2 linked regions of the Macaca fascicularis genome follow. The protein of the gene in region 1 interacts with the protein of each later gene in a pairwise test. Links are inferred from orthologs where the notes say so. Each region holds a gene or a part of one and is shown in the gene's direction. Other genes may lie near its edges.

Region 1 (9,708 bases):
CTGTAAACTTACGGCAAACCTTTCAGTTTACAGAGTATTTAGGATTTTAGAACTGCAAAAAAGGGACCGTGGATCTACATTAAACCGTGGGGTAAAGAAGAGCTTCAGGGGCTCTGAAAGGACGGAGATCAACGGGAACTGGAATTGTCAGAAAATTCTCCTGGAGGAGTTAGGATTTGAAAAACTTGTGGACGTCAGTTCATCCTGTAAATATCTACTGATTGTGCCAAGGATCCAGTAGCAAACAAGGCAGACGACATTCCTTCCTTCCCAAGGTCTGAATATCCCCGATTATCATTATTACAATTATCACCCTCATTGCAATGGGCTGGACAAAGAGCTGGGGGAATGTGGCTGGGCAAGAGAAAAGCCAAGGATACGGGCAAGGATTTGCCTCAACAACAACCAGAGTGACTTTCTAAAATCGGGTACGGTGGCTCACATCTGCAATCCCAGCACTTTGGGAGGCTGAAGCAGATGGATCACTTGAGGTCAGAAGTTCAAAACCAGTCTGGTTAAGATGGTGAAACCCCATCTCTACCAATAATACAAAAATTAGCCGGGTGTGGTGGTGCGTGCCTGAAATCCCAACTACTTGGGAGGCTGAAGCAGGAGAATCGCTTGAACCCCAGAGGCAGAGGTTGCAGAGAGCCTCTGTGGGCAGAAATCGACCACTACACCCCGGCCTGGGAGACAGAGAGAGACTGTCTCAAAAAATAAATAAACAAGTAAAGAAAAAACACAACATCACCCCTTTGCCTTTAAATTAAAAGGGTCTTGGCTGGCTACAGTGGCTCATGTCTGCAATCCCAGTACTCTGGGAGGCCGAGGCAGGTAGATTGCTTGAACCCAGGACTTCAAGACCAGCCTGGGCAACACAGCGAAACCTCATCTCTACAAAAATTAGCCAAGCGTGGTGGTGCAGGTCTGTAGTCCCAGCCACTCAGGAGGCTGAGGCAGGAGGATTGCTTGAGCCCAGGAGTTCCAGGCTGCAGGGAGTCGTGATCGCACCACTGCACTCCAGCCTGGGCCCCAAAGTAAATAAATAACACAATAAACAGGTCCCCTCTTTACGTTCCAGCCAAACTGACTTTCTGCTCTCCAAACACGTTCCCTCCTCCCGGGACGCCTCCTTCCCCGGTGCTGGCAGGACACCTGCTTCTCCCAATCAAGCAAGTCAAGGCTCACCTCTTCAGAAAAGCCCCCCAGGACCAACCTCTCTCTGGGAATGCCCCGTTCGTGTTTATTTGCTCCCTGGGACTGCCCTGTTCGTGTTTATTTACTCCAGAGCACCGATCCCTCCCTATCTTCGATCCTCTCTTGCTTATTTACTTGTTGAATGTCTGTCTCTGGCTCTAGAATTCCGGGAAAACGGGGACCGGAGTCCTCAAATCACGGCCTCCCGAGGGTTCGCCACGGGGCCCGACCCATCCGGAAGGGAAGCGCCATCAACTTTGCAGAATGAATGAAGCGCTGGAAAAGCTGGTTCGTTCATTCTGCAAACGAGAGAGCGGGGTCGCCCACCTCCCCCGCTGCCCCTCCAGCCCGGCCGAGGGTGGCTCGGGGACCACTCCGCTCCAGCCTTAGGCCCAAGTCGCGACCCCGGGAGGAGTGAGGGTGCAGGGGAGCCCGGGTCCGGCGAGCGGGGTAGTCGGTACCTGCGGGGGGCTTCATGGCGGGTGGGTCTGCGCCTGCGGCTCCCTCCCTCCTTCCACCTGCTACGCGTCCAGCCACCTCGGCCACTGAGGCCGCCTCTCTCGGCCCAACCGCCGCCACCGCCGCCACGGCCGCCTGAAGACCAAGCGACCCGCCGCCTGCGCACCCGGGGCATGCTGGGGCGGCGCGTGCACAGGGAGGGCAGGACGCACGCGTGCCCAAGCCCCGCCCACACCTAAAGGAGGCGGGCCGAGACGCTGGAGCTCTCTGCGCATGCGCTCAACCCTCCCAGTCCGTCATTGGTCTCGGGGTTGCGTGGGCGGAGCCTCTTGCGGTACCCCTCCAGAGCCGCTGCGGTGGCTAGAAAGGACGGTTTCCTTGGAAACCGCACGCCGCTGACGCCTCTCAGCCTCTGTCTGAGCGGTTCTTTCCGCGGAAACTTCGCCTGGGCTTCAGGCTACCGTGTTATTGTGTGCTTGCCTCCCTTCTTATAGCTGTGTGTTGGGCCAGTGTTATTATCGATCGCTAACTGTATCCCAGGCCCACTTTCCAGCATCTGAATCAGACGAATCAATTACATTAACCAGAAGTTTTGGTGTTTGGTTGTTTTTGAGACGGAGTCTCGCTCTGTCGCCCAGGCTGGAGTGCAGTGGCAGCAATCTCGGCTCACTGCAACCTCCGCCTCCCGGGTTCAAGCAATTCTCCTGCCTCAGCCTCTCGAGTAGCTGGGACTACAGGCGCGAGCCGCCACGCTCGGCTAATTTTCGTATTTTTAGTAGAGACAGGGTTTCACCATGTTGGCCAGGATGGTCTTAATCTCTTGACCTCGTGATCCGCCCGCCTCGGCCGCCCAAAGTGCTGGGATTACAGGTGTGAGCCACCGCGCCCGGCCAAGGTTTATTTTTTGTCAGAAACATAAGCAAGTAAACTGATTCATGTCAAATAACAGGTGTTTTGGAACAGTGCAGTAACCTGACCTACATCCAGTGTTGTGGGTTGAAACAAAAAACATCTGGAACCGTCTGTCTTGAACTGTTATGGCACCCAGAAAAAACAATGTACTACAATTAAACTGGCAAAAACGAAGCAACCGACCTCCTTTCCTTTTATGTTTTTTGTTTTTGTTTCGTTTTGTTTTGGAGGGACTGGACGGAGTCTCACTCTGTCGCCCAGGCTGGAGTACCATGGCGCGATCTCGGCTCACTGCAACCTCTGCCTCTCGGGTTCAAGCGATTCTCCTGCCTCAACCTCCCGAGTAGCTGGGACTACAGATGCCCGCACCACGCCCGGCTAGTTTTTGTATTTTTAGTAGAGACAGGTTTTCAGCATGTTGGCCAGGCTGGTCTCGAACTTCTGACCTCAAGTGATCTGCCCCTTGGCCTCCCAAAGTGCTGGGATTACAGGTGTCAGCCACCGCGCCCGGTCTCACCTTCTTTATTTCTGCAAAAGAAATTAAAATAATCCACGCCATTAATCGTGCATGTATTTCGAGTAGGACAACAATGAATTGGGAGAACATTTCTGTCAATTATAACTCAGATGGTGATCAGTTTTCTGTCGTCCTTGGAAATTTCTCATCTCTCATCTCTATTTTTTTTTCCATATGTCTTGAGCACACCAAGCTTTTACATTGGCCTTCATTTTTGCTGTTCCCTGTGCCTGGGGTCCGTTTGGACTTTTTCCTATCCTTGAAATCCAAATCTAAAGGATGATCTTTCCTACCCATACCATACAACTTAGCTCCCGGTGGCAATCACACCACCTTCATTTTTTTTGTAGTGTTAGCTGTGAAATTTCTTGTTTATCTACTTATGTACTAGTTTATTAGTTTATAGTTCGTCTACCCCAATGCAAAATAATGACAGTAGACACTTTGCTGGTTTTTATGACTGGTTTGCAATAAATATGGAATATTAGGCACCTGCTGCCTACTAATGTTTCTATTCTCACAAGCGTCTCATAAATTGACTGCATGAAAGAATGCATTTGTGGGTGAGTAGATGGGTGGGTGAATAAATGAACAAAGATAGCGAGCGGACAACACTGACTCCCATTCATTGCGGGGCTATGACGCTCTGGAGTCCAGGTGGCCAAACGCGGCTGCACCACGTGGCCGGCCCAGCACCACGTGGTCAGCTCGGCGACCGGCTGGAGTCAGCCACTGTTCCACCGTGCACCGCTTCGTTCCCGCCCTAGAGGGCAAACCAGCCCCGACTTCCGGCCTCCATTAGGTCGTAGAGGTCAGTTGCCCTAACGACCAGCTGGTTCCCGCCTCTACGTTGCGTCACTTCCTTCCACGCCCACCTCGATCATTAACGCGCCTGTGCAGAAGGGAAGCAACCCGGGGAGCCCTTCTTCTGCGCAGGCGTCGCGCCCGGGGGCCGGGGCCGGGCGGCTCCGCGGTGCGCAAGCGCAACCGTCGGTGGGTCGGGGATCGGTCGCCTGAGAGGTGAGTGAGGGGCACTGTGCTGAGCCTGGCGGGTGTGGGGTCTGCGACTCGGGGCTCACGGGGCCCCAGAGCCCGTAAGAGGTTGGGGATCGTGAGGCCAGGGTCAGCGCGACCCGCGGGGTCCTGTGAGTAGGCGGAGCGGAGGGGAAACTGAGGCCGGGCGGCATCGGCAGGCCCTTCGAGCCCTGATCTCCCTTCCCCGGGCCCCAGGTCCTGGAAATGCTGGTCCGCGGACTGGTGGCGAGGACGGCTGGAGGGGAAGGCGCCCCGCATGTACTGAGCGCTCGCTGGGTGTTCGCTGCCGTTCCGCTCTTACTAACTGCCTGGAAAAGTCGTCCCTGTGACTCGGGGACCCCCGTTTGTGGGGACTCAAGTCGGGGCTCTGGTCCCAGCGTCGCCAGTCCCTACCTGGGTGACCTTGCCCAGCCTCTTGGCTTCTCGGAGCCTCAGTTTTCCCGTCTGTAAAACGGGCGTTGTCAGAAGTCCCTGCCTGGGAGAATGAGAGCCGCCGCAGGGTCCAGCGGAATCTGAGAACTCCAAAGAATTAGCAGCCGTTCGTCTTATTTCATGTTTAGAGTCTTCTTCTGCATATCGTGCTAGAGGTGGGGGAAATCTGGGATTCAGAACCAGCCCACCACCACCACCCACCCGCTGTGTAAACCTGGATGAGTTGCCTTCCCTCTCTGAGCAAACCTTCTTTTTCGTAAACGAGTTGTAAAAGCAGATGTCTGGGAGGGTCATTATGAGGATAAGCCCACATTCAATGATTTGATCAGGTGCCTGGAACTTGATAAGAGAGAGCTGGCTTGAGAACAGCTGTTTTTGTTATTAGGTGGCAGAAAATTGCAGTGCAATGTGCCTCTCAGAGGTTGGATCATTGTCCCGTTTACTTTTGCTTCTGTCTCTGATTATTCGTTCTCTCTGCCTTTTCCCTCCCTTGACCAGTGTGGTTCTCAACCAGGAACAATTCTGTGCCCCAGAGATTCTTGGTGACATTTGTGCTTTTCACGATTCAGGGGACCCCCTGGTTTGGAGTCGGTGGAGGCCAGGGTTGCTGCTCAGCACCCTGCAGTGCCCAGGACGGCCCCACCCCAGAAAACGATCCAACTTTGAATGTCAATAACGCTTTAAAAACCACACCCTACCATACGGGTGGATCACCTGAGGTCAGGAGTTCGAGACCAGCCTGACCAATGTGGTGAAACCCCGTCTCTCTTGAAAATACAAAACTTAGCTGGGCATGGTGGCGTGCGCCTGTAATCCCAGCTACTCAGGAGGCTGAGGCAGAAGAATCCCTTGAACCCAGGAGGCAGAGGTTACAGAGACCCAAGATCACGCCACTGCACTCCAGCCTGGGTGACAGAGCGAGACCCTGTCAAAAAAAACCAAAAAACAAAAAAAACCTACCCTAGATCAGTGATTCTTCCCCAGCATGGGCAGCTGGGAGTGTGTGGGCCCGGGAAATGGTATACAAAGTTTTGTGTGTGCACCCAATTTTGTGTGGCGAGAAGTGGGCACTTTGGAGTTTAGCTTCTCAAGTGAGGCTGCCTGGGTTCAGAACGCCTCATTTGCATCCTCCTAGCTGGGTGGTCTTGGGTGGTTCCCATCTTTCCAAGCCTCAGTTTTTCTTCTGTGGAATGGGGATTATAAAAGTAACCACCTCAGGTGTGTGAGGATTCAACCGGGCAAGGTATCAGCTAACCAGAAGGCCAAATCCACCTCTGGCCTGTTTTTGGGAATGAAGGTTTGTGGGAACACAGCCACACTCCTTGGTTTGCATGTTACCTGTGGTTGGTTTCGAGCTAAGAAGACACAGTTGAACAGTTGCCGTAGGGACCTTAGCGCCTGCCGAGCTGAAGACAGTCTGGCCCTTTTCAGAAAAACCTCTGCTGACCCCTAAAATAAGCTATCGCATGTACAGCACTTAGCTGGGTGCCTGGAAAGCTGTAAGCGCGCCAAGGATTTGAGCTGAGGTTTATAATTAAATCTTCCTAGAAGGGTGAATGATTCCAAATGGGGGTGAGCTCTGCCCCAGATTGGACGGATCCTTGAGAGCGGCAGTCTTACTCAATTCTATGGTTGTTTTTTTGCCAAGACCCAACAGTGGCCCTGGTAGGAAGTGCTCGGTACAGGCCGAAGGCATAAAAGGGGTGGTTTGAGATAAGGTCTTGCTCTGTCGCCCAGGCTGGAGTGTAGTGGCGCAATCTCCGCTCACTGCAGCCTCGACCTCCCGGGCTCAGGCCCTCCCACCTCAGCCTCCTGAGTAGCTGGGACTACAGGTGTGCACTACCACACCCGGCTAATTTTAGTATTTTGTTGTTTTAGAGATAGGGTTTCACCGTGTTACCCAGGCTGGTCTCAAACTCCTGGGTTCAAGCGATCCTCCACCTTGGCCTCCAGAGTTCTGTGATTACAGGCGTGCCTCACTGCACCTGGCCCGTTTTCTCTTTTACTGAGGTGGAAACAGAAACCCAGAGAGAAATGGCCTCCCCATTTCAAGGAACTTGACCACGTGTCTGTGAATTTTTCAACCATCGAAGGCTTTCCTGAGTCCATAGGGTTTAGACGCTGCCAGATGCTGGCGTTCAAAGGGAAGCTGGGTCTGTCAAGAGGTAGAAAGCCTTGTAAGAGATGCTGGGCCAGAGATGGAGTTTGCAGGAATACTAGATTCTCTCCTAGAGTTGGGCAGGAGAGGTGAGCACTTGAGTTTGAGTGGCACGTACAGGGTTTGGTGTAGGCCCCACAGACGACCCCCAGCTGGTGGGGGGGCCTCCTATGCACACTCCTGGGGTTCCAGGGAGCACTTGAGGGCTTTTATGTGTACAGTGACCTCCTGGTGGCATTTTAGAAGAAAGTGGACTTCGATGTGGGGAGTGGGCAGGGGACTGAGCTAGAACTCGGGTGTCCTGAGAGGGAGTGAGGAGCAGGGCACCTGGCTTTCCTGCCCTGCTGTTGGTGAGAAGCAACGTGGATTTGGGATGGAGGCGGGCAGAGTGCTCACAGAAGGCGGTGGGCAAGAGCGGGCGCTTCCTACTGGAGTGTAAGGAGGTAAGATGGCCTCAGTTTACGAGGATATTCTGTTTTTTTCCATTGAATGATCCATTCTGGGCAGGGAAATAAGGAAGAGAGGTGGTTGTGAGTTTTTTGTCTGGTTTTAGAGACAGGGTCTCACTTTGTCACCCGGGCTGGAGTGCAGAGCCCAGTCACAGCTCACTGCAGCCTCCAACTCCTGGGCTCAAAACGATCTTCTCGCCTCAGCCTCTCAAGCAGCTGGGACTACTGATGTGTGCCGCCACGTCAGGCTAATTTTTTTTTTTTTTGGTGGAGTCTCTTTTGTAGGGTCTCACTGTACACTGTATAATAGCCCAAACTGGTCTCGAACACCTGGACTCGAGCGATTCTCTCGCCTCGGCCTCCCAAAGTGCTGGGATTACAGGCGTGAGCCCCCGCCCCTGACCGAGGGGGCCGTGGTTTGATTTTGTTTTCATTTTAATGATAAAATGAAAAGGTGGGATGTGGAGTCCTCGGCTCAGAGCCGAAAGGGACACTGAAGGCCCCTACGCGGGAGCTGGCGCCACCCCCACGGGCCAGCACTCCTCCCACCCTCACTTGTGCGGCCTCTGCCTTGAGACCAGGCCTCGGCCATGGCTCCTGCGCACCCATAAAGCCGTCGCTGTTGGGAGACACAGCAGGCCTTCTCTGAGAATGCTGTCCCGCAGCCAAACCCTCCAAGTTGTGGTTGTCCCAGAGACAGCGAGTGCCAAACGGCAGTTGAGGAACATGCGTCCTCATGCCTGCTGGACCTCCCTCCGAAGAGCAGAAAACTTTCTGACGGGAGAGCCCGGCTGCTGAAGCAGATTTGAGAACCGTTTGATGATGTCCCCCACCTTGGGGATGGCAGAGAAGCCACAGGTCCTAGCACCCCCGGCCTGTGTCACGTGCAGGGCGGGGCCGTGCTTACCGTAGGTGAGCTGTCCTCCACCACGGACCGCAGTTCTGACACCCAGAATACCCTGCAAACAGAAGGTTTTCAGAAAGTTCACAGCAAAGTCATCTGGCCAGAAAAAGCTGACCCGTGCTGACTTCCAGCCTTTCTTCTTCCCACTTAGTGGCCGCCATGATTTACAGCTGGGGGCGGTTTGGCAGCGTCTGGGGACGTGTGTGGTCGTCTCAGCCGGAGAGTGTTTCAGGCGTGCATGGGGGGGAGCCAGGGGTGCCGCTCAGCTGCCTGCCATGCGCAGGACAGAATCATCCACCCAAGATGCCCACGGTGCCAGGGGGGAGACACCTGCGTTAATTATTTGGGAAAAAATTGAGCCTGCTCCCTGCTCACACAGACACCAGAATAAACTTCCAGCGGGGCAGAGGGTGGGAATCGAGGTCCCCAGGTCCTCGGGTTCGCCGCCTCGCTCCCTCTCCGTGTAGCGTGTAGATTTATCTTTTGTTGTTTTGTTAGAGACAGGGTCTCACTTTGTCGCCCAAGTTGCTCTCGAACTCCTGGGCTCAAGCAACCCTCCACAGTTTGTGAATTTCAATGGGTGCAGCCTCCTGGGCCTTGGTAGAGCAAACAATCACGGGACACAGAGTCTCCTGGGGATCAGTGGCATCCCCTGGCCCAGGGAGTCTAAGCTGGGACACTTCTGCTCAGCTGTGCCCCAGGCTAACGGGGAGGGGGCAGGGTAGAGACCACGAGGCCAAGAGGTTCTCTGGGCCGTGGAGGGTGTTCCAGGAGAGAAAAGAGCACGTGCAAAGGCCCTGGGGTACAGAGGCGCTGGCGGGACCGGGAGGGAGGAGTGTGACTCAGTGAGGCTCACTGTTCCACTCTCTGAACCCTCAGTGGATCCCTAGCCACCCGCCACCCCGTCCAGTCCTCACACCTCAGTCTAAGAGAGAAGGAAACCGGTACACCAAAGATGAGATTTCTTGGTTTAGAAGGAGCGCACATCCCCCTCCACACACCCGCCCCCAGCGTGGATCGTGCTAGGCCCTGCGTGCCTGGAATGCTAAGCCGCGTTCCAGCTGTCACTGGTATGATCTTGCGTGTGCCACCTGTCCGGGCCTGTCACCCCTCTATAAGAGGGGGCTGTGACCCCCGCCTTCTAGGTTTAAGGGGGGACTCAGCCAGGTGTGGTTTCTTTTTTTTTTTTTTTTTTGAGACGACGTCTCGCTCTGTCTCCCAGGCTGGAGTGCAGTGGCGCGATCTCAGCTCACTACAATCTCCACCCCCCAGGTTCAAATGACTCTCCTGCCTCAGCCTCCCGAGTAGCTGGGATTACAGGCGCCCGCCACCACGCCCCACGCCCGGCTAATTTTTGTATTTTTAGTAGAAGCCAGTCTGGTCACGAACTCCTGACCGTCTCAGCCTCCCAAAGTGCTGGGATTATAGGCCTGAGCCACCGCGCCTGCCTCAGGTCTTGTTTCTCCTGCTTGCTGTTGCCTCTTCCGAATCTGAAGTCACCAAGTGAGGTGTGTTTGCATGGGGATCCTGACCTGAGGCCGCCTGTTACAGAATCCTTTCCAATGAAACCTCTAAAAAGGTGTCGGCACCATTCTCAGCTAAAGACAACTGGCTGGGTGGGACCCTCGTCTCAAAGACCCCAGAC
Region 2 (9,832 bases), on another chromosome or scaffold:
CATGGGTTCTAGTCCAAGGGGGTGCTTCCCACTCTGTACTCCTTCCCCCATTGCTAGAATCTAGGGCAGTCATCCTACCGCCTTGGATGGCTCCTGTTGGTAGCCTGTGGCTGCTCCTGTCTCTTCCTCAGGGCTTTCCAGGCCATCTCTGTGCAACTCCAAAGGGCCTTTTCAGTTGATGTCTTTTTTTTTTTTTTTTTTTTTTTTTTGCCTCTGATTGTCCTGTGCTCTCTCAGGTCGGTCTTGAGCCATGATGGATTAGGGAGAGACATTTCTTGTATAAATGAGATGCTCCCCTCACTTCACCCATGAGCCCCTCCAGGGCCGGCTACATAATTTACAAGACTTAATGCAAAGTGAAAATGTGGAGTCCCTTGTTCAAAAACAGGAAAAAAAGTGTTAAAGGTACTGAAATTAATTTTTTAATTTTCTTTGGCAGTTTCTCTCTAGATCTGCCATGGTGTTAAAAAACGTATTTACTGTTGCTCCTCCACAAGTATGTAGATACTCACAGGGAGAGTGCAGACCCTCAGAGGTGTGCAGGGTCCCTGTCCCACTACTTGGTGTGTGCAGGACCCACCAGCTAGCAGGTTCCCTCTGTCACCAGCACCCTGGTAGTCAGGGACAAGGGACCACACTAACAACATTTGAGACAATAATTGGAAACCAATATTCAGAGGAGGCGTAAAAGATGATGCAGCCTCACAAGTAATGATGTAACCAACTTTAATAAATGGCAGTGGGAAGTGCAGAGGCAAGTAGGTTCCATCAACCAGGGTTCTCCAGAGAAAGAGAACCAATAGCTGATTATCTGGCTGTCTATCTATCTATCTATCTAATCTATATCTATCTGTCAGTTAAGATCTATCTATCTACCTACTTACCAATAGGTCCAATCAGGTCTATTTTGTCAAGAAATGAGACCACGTTTTGTCAAACATTTAATGGGGCAGAGCCAGATGGGTCCAGACCCAAGGACTAAGCTATTCAGTTAAAGACTGACAGCTCCCTGTGCGCTTAATGTGTGCAGGGACACGCCGGTAATAAAAACAATATGTACTGTACTGAGAGGACCAGACATTGTGCTGAGTGCTTTCCAAATACGACTCCAGAGGCAGCAACACTCTCATTTTACAGCGGAGGTAGCTGAAGTTCAAAGAGGTTCAGTGATTTGCTTCCAACCTGTAAGTCTGACTTTGAAGTTCAGGTTCTCAAAACCATGTGGTGTCGACTCTGTGTGCGTGCTCTTTTCTGTAGCCCTAGGCCTAGTGCAATACCTGACATGCGGTAAGAAATGTTAAATAACTTTTGTGGGAATGGATTGTATAAATGAATGAAGGAATCTGTAGGATTTAGGTAGAACACAATAAAGGGTGTGTGAAATAGATTTTTATTTTTTTATTTTTTTTTTTGAGATGGAGTCTCACTCTCATAGCCCAGTACTGTGATCTGAGCTCACTGCAACTCTACCTCCCGGATTGAAGTGATTCTCCTGCTTCAGCCTCCTGAGTATTACAGGCACACACCACCATGCCCAGTTAAATTTTGTATTTTTAGTAGAGATGGGATTTCACCATGTTGGCCAGGCTATTCTCAAACTCCCAAACTCAAGTGATCCACCTGCCTCAGTTTCCCAAAGTTCTGGGATCACAGGCATGAGCCACTGCTCCCGGCTTTGAAATAGATTTAATGAGTCAATCTCAGGTTAAGATTGGGTTAGCAGCGGAAGTGTCCTCCACCAAACAGGTTCTGGGGATCAGCATGTGAGCAACCTGTTTTAGAAAAGCTCAATCTTGTGTGTGTCATTAATCCGCTATGCAGCTTTGAGCCTGGATCTTCTAAGGGATTCAGTCTCTTTTATGCAAGCTGCGGGTTTGGTCTAGGAGTTAGCATTTTCTGTAAAGGACCAGACAATAAGTATTTTAGGCTTGGCAGTAAATATTTTAGGTCCCTGTTGCCATTGTAGTGGAAAAATAGCCGTAGACAGTACATAAATTAATGGATGTATGGCTATGTGCCAATAAAACTTTATAAAAACAGGTGACTAGGTGGAAATTTGGTCCAAGGACTGTAGTTTGCTGATCTAGAAAACGCTTGAAGTCCTCTTTAGTCTTCACATTCTATGATGTAAAGATTTTTGTTTGTTTGTTTGTTTGTTTTTTGTTTTGTTTTTTTGAGACGGAGTCTCGCTCTGTCGCCCAGGCTGGAGTGCAGTGGCGCGATCTCAGCTCACTGCAAGCTCCGCCTCCTGGGTTTACGCCATTCTCCTGCCTCAGCCTCCTGAGTAGCTGGGACTACAGGCGCCCGCCACCGCGCCCGGCTAATTTTTTGTATTTTTAGTAGAGACGGGGTTTCACCGTGGTCTCGATCTCCTGACCTTGTGATCCGCCCGCCTCGGCCTCCCAAAGTGCTGGGATTACAGGCGTGAGCCACCGCGCCCGGCCTGATGTAAAGATTTAGAACCAATTATGTCAAAGATAATAATGATTATATATTATTATCCTCCTCTGACACCCATGGAAGACATTGCTAATTGGGCACAGGGTACTTTTCTCATGAGAAAGGAGTTGGCTCTAATCGGTCAATCACACATTAAGCAATCAGCCAATTGGAGATTAAAAAAAAAAAACAACAAAAAAAACCTTAAGCTGTAGCATTCTCCTTTTAATTAATTATTTAATTTTTTTTTGAGATGGAGTCCCATTCTGTTGCCCAGGCTAGAGTACAATGGCGCAATCTTGGCTCACTGCAACCTCTACTTCCAGGGTTCAAGTGATTCTCCTGCCTCAGCCTCCTGAGTAGCTGGGGTTACAGGTGCGTTTCACCCTTTCACCATGCCTGGCTAATTTTTGTATTTTTAGTGGAGATAGGGTTTCACCATGTTGGCCAGTCTGCTCTCGAACTCCTGACCTCAAGTGATCTGCCCACCTTGATTTCCCAAAGTGCTAGGATTACAGGCATAAGCCACCATGCCCAGCCCCTTTTCATTCTTTAAGAAACAAATATTTAGAAAACTCCAGACAATTTCTTGAGTGTGGCACTGAGGAAAATAGGAACAAACAGAGAGAGAGAGAACAGAAACTATGTGAGAGAAATAAAATTGTCCCCTGGGTAGTGCAGGTGAGAACAAAAATCTTGACTTGAGAGTGTCATTACCCACTGGCGGAAATCATATCCTCCATTTCTCTCTTACCTGCCCTACTAAATACCAACTAGGACTGAATGTACCTGGTTCATAGTAGTTACCTCATGCATATTAATTTTCGTCCTTTTCTTTTTCCACCAAAATTTGATTGATGATTGATTGATTATGTCCAAGTCTTCTGATCCACCAAAATTTAAACCATGGAGTGACTTTCATATAAACAGATCTGCTGCCAGTTGACTGTCTGGTTGTGGAATACTTAAATACTTCATGTGGGGCTGTCACTACTTGATAATGAGTGAGTCTTTCATGTCTGTGAAAAGTTCCACAAACATTCACTTTAGGAATGAATGGGAGAATTCTAAGCATGAAGATAGTGAGTCAAGAGCTTAGAGTTTGCAGCCAGATGAGGTTTGGTTGAATTTTATTTTATTTTATTTTATTTTTTTAAGACAGAGTATAGCTCTGTTCCCTAAGCTGGAATGCAGTGGCATAATCATGGTTCACTGCAGCCTCAAACTCCTGGGCTAAAGCCATACTCCTGGCTCAGCCTCCCAAGTAGCTGGGACTGCAGGCATACATCATCATGCCTGGCTAATTTTTAAAATTTTTTTGTAGAGATAGGGTCTCAATATCTGGCCAGGGCTGGTCTCAAACTCCTAGTCTCAAGGAATCCACACACCTCAGCCTCATGAGCAGCTGAGACTGTATGTATGTGACCCTACACTCAGCTATGGGCTGAATTTTAGAGATAATGATGACTCTCTTTATAATTAGAAGCAATCTATGCAGATTGGGTAGCATATAGAACGAGTTTAATTTTTTGCTGTCATGTGAGATCTGTAAGGGTTTTTGGGGAATTTTAGGAAGCAGTCCTCTAAGATCTCAAATTATCTCATAGCTAAATGTTGATTACAGTGACTGATGAGCTGCTTTCCCCCTTTATCTCAGATTCATTTCAGTTCTCTTTAGTGGGAAGGGATACAATTCATTTATTCTTTTCAGAGTCCCTTCATGCCCTTAATTTCATAACCCTCTGAGAAGGGCTGACTTGTTAGTATCATTTCATTTCACAGCTGAGAAAACTGAGCTCTGAAGAGATTTGCTGAGAGCAGAGCTCTTCTTCAGCTTTCATTTGTTGAGTGAATGCTTTTCCTGTGACAGGCACTGGGGATAAACGGTGTAAATATTTCAGGGAACTAAGTATCGGTTGGTTGAATGAGCTGAACTTTTGAGAAAGAAACTGCATTGAGCATTCAGCAGAGTTTCACAATGCCTTAGAGTCCAATAATGTGAAAATCAGAATTCGTAATGTGAGAATAGGATGTAATGCACGAAGTCTCAGCTGGGGGTCTGCATCTGGTTTCAGTTCCAGGTCCAGGTAGCACCTTTGCAATTGACCACTTCTTCCCCTCTCCACCTGTAAGGCTAATGGCCTCGGGTCTCGTGATGTTTAGGGCTCAGATGGACACTGAGATGGCCTCTTTAATCAGCCAACCTCTCAGGCCAACCTCTTCCCTTTCTTTTCTGGTAATTACTGTATTGACCTCAAAGCCTCACCTGGCATAGGAAAGATAAACCGTCTCCTTGGTGCCAGGATTTCTGGTCTCTGGCTAAGCTTCCTGCTTATGCAATAGTAGCTGGGAGAGGCCAAAAGAATTCTGGTTGGGCCACACCCACTGGTGAAAGAATAAATAGTGAGGTTTGGCATTGGCCATCAGAGTCACTCCTGCCTTCACCATGAAGTCCAGTGGCCTCTTCCCCTTCATGATGCTTCTTGCCCTGGGAACCCTGGCACTTTGGGCTGTGGAAGGCTCTGGAAAGTGTAAGTTGGGAGTCATTCTGGTCTAATCTGGGCTGCAGGGTCAGAGGTGCGGTCTCCTGGTGATGTGGGTGTGTCCCCTTCTGTAGGCTCTGATCTCTCAGCTTAGTTTCAGGAGACCTCCCTGAGAGTGGAATACATGTCTGGCTGAGCTCCAAGGTTTCTGTGAGGGTTTCTGAGCTTCTGGAAATGCTTTTTCTATGCAACCATGCTGTCGGCCCAGATCCCACTCTCTCTCTCTCTCTGTCTCTCTCTCTCTTATCCTCTGCCTTCTTCACCTGTCTGTGACTCTCAAATCATTAGTTTCTGACTCTGCTTCTTCTTTGTGTCTTCGCTTCTGCTATTTTGTCTCTGTGTTTCTGCCTTGGGCTTTAGCTCTCAACTTCTCTCACACTGGTTCTATTTATCTTTGTTTATCTGTCTCCATCTCCATCACTCCCAGCCTTCCTCTCTGCCTTTGTGTAGCCCTGTTTTGCTCTGGGGTGGGAGGTCTTGACTAGAAGCCTGCTGCCCTTTTCTTGGGTCTGAAACATCCCCTGTCCATTTGTCCAATTTAATCAAGCCCATCAATCCACCCGGAGATCAGGCAGGCATGACCCTTTGGGCTTTGTGGATAGCTCCTGAGGTAAGGGTCTCTCCCCCTCAAAAGTGGTGCTTTGTTCAGCAGGCATGATGACTTCTCAGTGCCCAGCCTACTCCTGACCTCTTGACTTTCTCTTCAAAAGCCTTCAAAGCCGGAGTCTGTCCTCCTAAGAAATCTGCCCAGTGCCTTAGATATGAGAAACCTCAGTGCCAGAGTGACTGGCAGTGTCTAGGGAAGAAGAGATGTTGTCCTGACATTTGTGGCATCAAATGCCTGGATCCTGTTGACACCCCAAGCCCAAGTAAGCAGATCGGGGAACTGGGTAGAGAGGAGTGAGCCTGAGGACACAGCATTAGGGGGATGGCACTGGGTGATGGGTCCTGCCAGGCCTCCTTGTCAATCAGTCAATGAGTCACATGCCCTAAGCAGGAAGGTAGCCAGCAGGTGGTGAAGCAGCGGGCATTTAGATAGTCAGGTAGTTGGAAGCCTCCCACCTAGTCAGCACTGGACGACTGGCCCCCTGCATCAACGGGGGCCTGATGTTCTAGGACAGCCAGGTGCTATGTTTGGGGGGTGACTTACGGAGAAAGTGGTGGTGATAGAGATCGGGGGGGATGATCCGACCTGCTCAGGTTGCAGCAGGGGCTCACTCTAAAAAGTGGAGATAGGAGGGGTTGTGTAAAGTACAAGGCCTCTGACTGGTAGCCTCACTCTCACCCAGCGAGGAGGAAGCCTGGGCATTGTCCACCAGCTTATGGCCAATGTATGATGCTTAAACCCCCCAATTACTGTGAGATGGATGGCCAGTGCGAGCGTGACTTGAAGTGCTGCATGGGCATATGTGGGAAATCCTGCGTTTCCCCTGTGAAAGGTAAGCAGGGGCCGAGGGCACACTGAGCTCCCTCCATCTCAGCCTCAACCCTCTGGAGGCCCAGGCATATGGGCTGGGGGACTCTTGACCCCTATTCCAAGCAGAGCCTCTGTCTGACTCCCTTGTCCTTCAAGAGAACTGTTCTCTAGGTCTCAGGGCCAGGATTTCCATAGGATCACCTGTGGCTTTGATTCTATTCTAGTGTCTCTGGGTGGGGGTCCTGGGCAAGTGACTTTCTGAGTCTCAGTTTCTTTATCGGTAAAATGGACATAATGAGATTGAAAGTGCTCTGCAAAGCACTATGTGCACTAAGAATTTATTATTCAGGTTGTTTCCGTCATGTTTTCTGAGGTTAAATCCCAAACGATCCGTGGAGTTTGAGGATTATCTAATTCAATGCTTTCAATTTAGAGTTTTACGGTGAAAATGAGACTTGTCTCCTGACACTAAGTCTCTCTCAACTATAGCACTATCTTGCTATTTTCTTTATCTCAGGAGGATCCTTGGGCAGAAGGAAGGATGTGAATATGATTTGGCTGATTTCTATGCTGAAGCTCTTATCTGATTTTCTCTCACAGCTTGATTCCTGTGATTTGGAGGAGGCTCTGGAGTCCTGCTCTGTGTGGTCCAGGTCCTTTCCACCCCCAGACTTGGCTCCACCACCGATATCCTCCTTTGGGGAAAGGCTTGGCACACAGCAGGATTTCAGGAAGTGCCAGTTGATCAATGAATAAATAAATGAGCCTATTTCTCTTTGTACCCTGCTTCTGTGATTCATTGGGGTTATGAGTGGGGTGGGAGGCTATGAGGGAAGATCTAGCTATGAGGCCTTCCTCCTATGGGTATATAGTGGGAGGAAGAGGCATAGGGACTGGGGGGACTTGAATTTATATCATGAGTCTATAAGTACTGGCTCTGTGATTTTGGACAAGTGATTTTTATCTCCTAAATTTCAATTCTTTTGTCTGTGAAGTGGCAATAAAAGTCAACTTCTCACAGCATTTGGAACATTGGAGGAAGCATTGTGTGTGTAATAAATAGCAATGTTACTAGGCCACAGCAAGTTCTCAAAAAATAGGGGCTACTTGTGGCCTACTGGAGTGATTTTGAGTCTCTTTAATTTCCTCTCTCTCCCACGACACTATTTCTTCTATTTTACGATGAGAACGTTACCATAATGGGTAGCATTTATGGCACACTATTGGCCATACCATGCAAGGGTGGTGGTGTCCTTGACTCCACGGAGCAGGAGTAACAGGAACTGGGACTGCTAAGAGCTAAGGAGCAGGCAAAGGGCCTTGCTCCACATTGCTCTGCTTTGTGGATTCCAGAGGAAAGAGACAACTTGATTAGATAAGATTTTAAAAAATATTGTAATTCAATCCTTCCCTGGAAAAAGTCAGCAAACTAAAAATTCTTCCTTACTACTTTCAAACAATGCTCTAAGAGCAGCAAGGGAATATATTAAATTAACAATTCAATGAAGAGGAAAAAGAGGGAGAACCATTTTATTTATTTGATGAGTGTGGCAGTCACCCTTCACGTTGGCCCCCAGTGATCTCACCTGTTGGTATTCACACCTTTGTGTAGCCCCCTCCTGCATTTTTCCACAGTTAGTTTGTGTGACTAATAAAACATTACAAAAGTGAGAGATAGTTATGTCCTCACGAAATTAGATGATAAATGTTTGCAGCTTCCATTGTGGAGGCATTCTCTCTCTCCTCAATCACTTACTCTGAGGGCATTCTTTTGGCAGGTCATGAGGAAACTCAGGCCATCTGTGCAGTGGCCCACAGGGTGAGGATCCAACACTTCTGACCAACAGCCCATGAGGAACGGAGGCCCATCCATAAACACATGAGTGAGCGTGGAGTGGGTTTTTCAGTCTTGCTCTAGTCTTTTATTTTTTCTGATAGAATCTCACTCTGTCGCCCAGGCTGGAGTGCAGTGGCATGATCACGGCTCACTGCAGCCTTGAATTCCTGGGCTCAAGTGATCATTCTACCTTCGCTTCCTGAGTAGCTAGGACTACAAGTGCACGTCACCACATCCAGCTAATTTTTAAAAAACTTTTTTTAGAGACGAGGTCTTGCCATGTTGGCCAAGTTGGTCTAGAACTCCTGGGCTCAAGCAATCCTCCTGCCTTGGCCTCCCAAAGTGTTGGGATTACAGGCATGAGCTACTGCACCTGGCCCGCTCTAGTCTTGAAAAGACTGCAGTCCCAGCAGATAGCTTGACTGTAATCTCATGAGGGCCCTGAACCACAACTACCTAGCTAAGCTAATCTAAGCGGATTCCTGACTCTCAAATTGTGAATTGATGTTAATGGTTTTAAGATGCTAAGTTTTGGGGAAAGTTGTTATACAGCAATTGATAAGCAATACAATGAATTTAGCAAAAATTTGATACTACAACCAAATATGGACAGTAAAAGAAAATTATGAGCCAATGTCATCTTCTACAAACATAAGTATGAAGATCCTAAGTAAAATGCTAAAAATTAGAATTCATCAAGGTTTTAAAAGCTTTCATAGAGTTCAATGTGAATATGAATTTTTTAAATTAAAATTAAAAATAGAAATAAATCCAGAAAAGGTAACATACCTGAAATTCTGTAGCAAAATCTACATTAAGTTAATTTTTCAGAGGCATTGTCACTGAAGTAAGACAATAAGGATCATCAGTATTTTCAACAATGTATGAAATATTTAAAACTGTGCAGCTAAATGAGATAAAGGAAAAGATTGGGAAGAAAGATACAAAATGGTCATTATTTGCAGACAGTATCATTTCCTGTATAACAATTTGAGACATTCAATAAGATTGATAAAATAAGATTTACCAAAGTTGCTGGGTATAAGGCCTACACAAAATTCTATAGCATTTCTACACATTGTTTATAACCAATCAGAAATAATAGAAGTAGACATAAATAGTCAAAGAAAGTAGCCAGAAGTAGTCAAAGAAACAAATGCTACAAAATACCTAGGAATAAGCCCCCAAATTGTGCCAAACCTTCATGGATTAAAAACAAATTTTAGAAATAAAGGTCTAAAATATGAACTCAGTAGATAAAAAAATAATGTTTATGTTTGGGAAGGCTTAATAAGGTAAAGATAATGATTTCTTTAAAATTATTTCTAAATCCAATGTGATTACAATAAAAAACCTAATACAATTTTTGAGAAGAACTTGACGAAGTGATCCTACAGTTAATGTATTATTATAAAGGTTGCAGTAGAGCCCGTAAAGTTTTTTAAAAGTACAAGAATGGAGGGTAGCTAGATTAGGTATCAAAATGTGCTGATGATATAATAATTAGGGTAGTATGATGTTGGTACAGGAATAAACAAATAGTCCAGTGGAATGGAATACCTACAAGGACATCATGAGAGTGACACTATATGAAAA

Evidence for each region. The genes of interacting proteins can lie anywhere in the genome.
Region 2: the proteins of SGTA (region 1) and SLPI interact in binary tests that used the Homo sapiens proteins (3 or more experiments, as listed by UniProt). The two-hybrid records come from large-scale screens. The link is inferred for Macaca fascicularis from reciprocal best matches to the Homo sapiens genes SGTA and SLPI.

The regions. Positions count from the first base shown.
Region 1 is NC_088393.1:3,460,957-3,470,664, reverse strand, and holds the start of SGTA (small glutamine-rich tetratricopeptide repeat-containing protein alpha), read left to right. Parts: upstream 1-4,064; 5' UTR 4,065-4,105; intron 4,106-9,708. Other genes in the region: THOP1 (thimet oligopeptidase), read right to left, coding at 1,659-1,674. UniProt on the Homo sapiens protein: Co-chaperone that binds misfolded and hydrophobic patches-containing client proteins in the cytosol. Mediates their targeting to the endoplasmic reticulum but also regulates their sorting to the proteasome when targeting fails.
Region 2 is NC_088384.1:101,334,928-101,344,759, reverse strand, and holds SLPI (antileukoproteinase), read left to right. Parts: upstream 1-4,864; 5' UTR 4,865-4,885; coding exon 4,886-4,970; intron 4,971-5,692; coding exon 5,693-5,851; intron 5,852-6,271; coding exon 6,272-6,421; intron 6,422-6,999; coding exon 7,000-7,004; 3' UTR 7,005-7,180; downstream 7,181-9,832.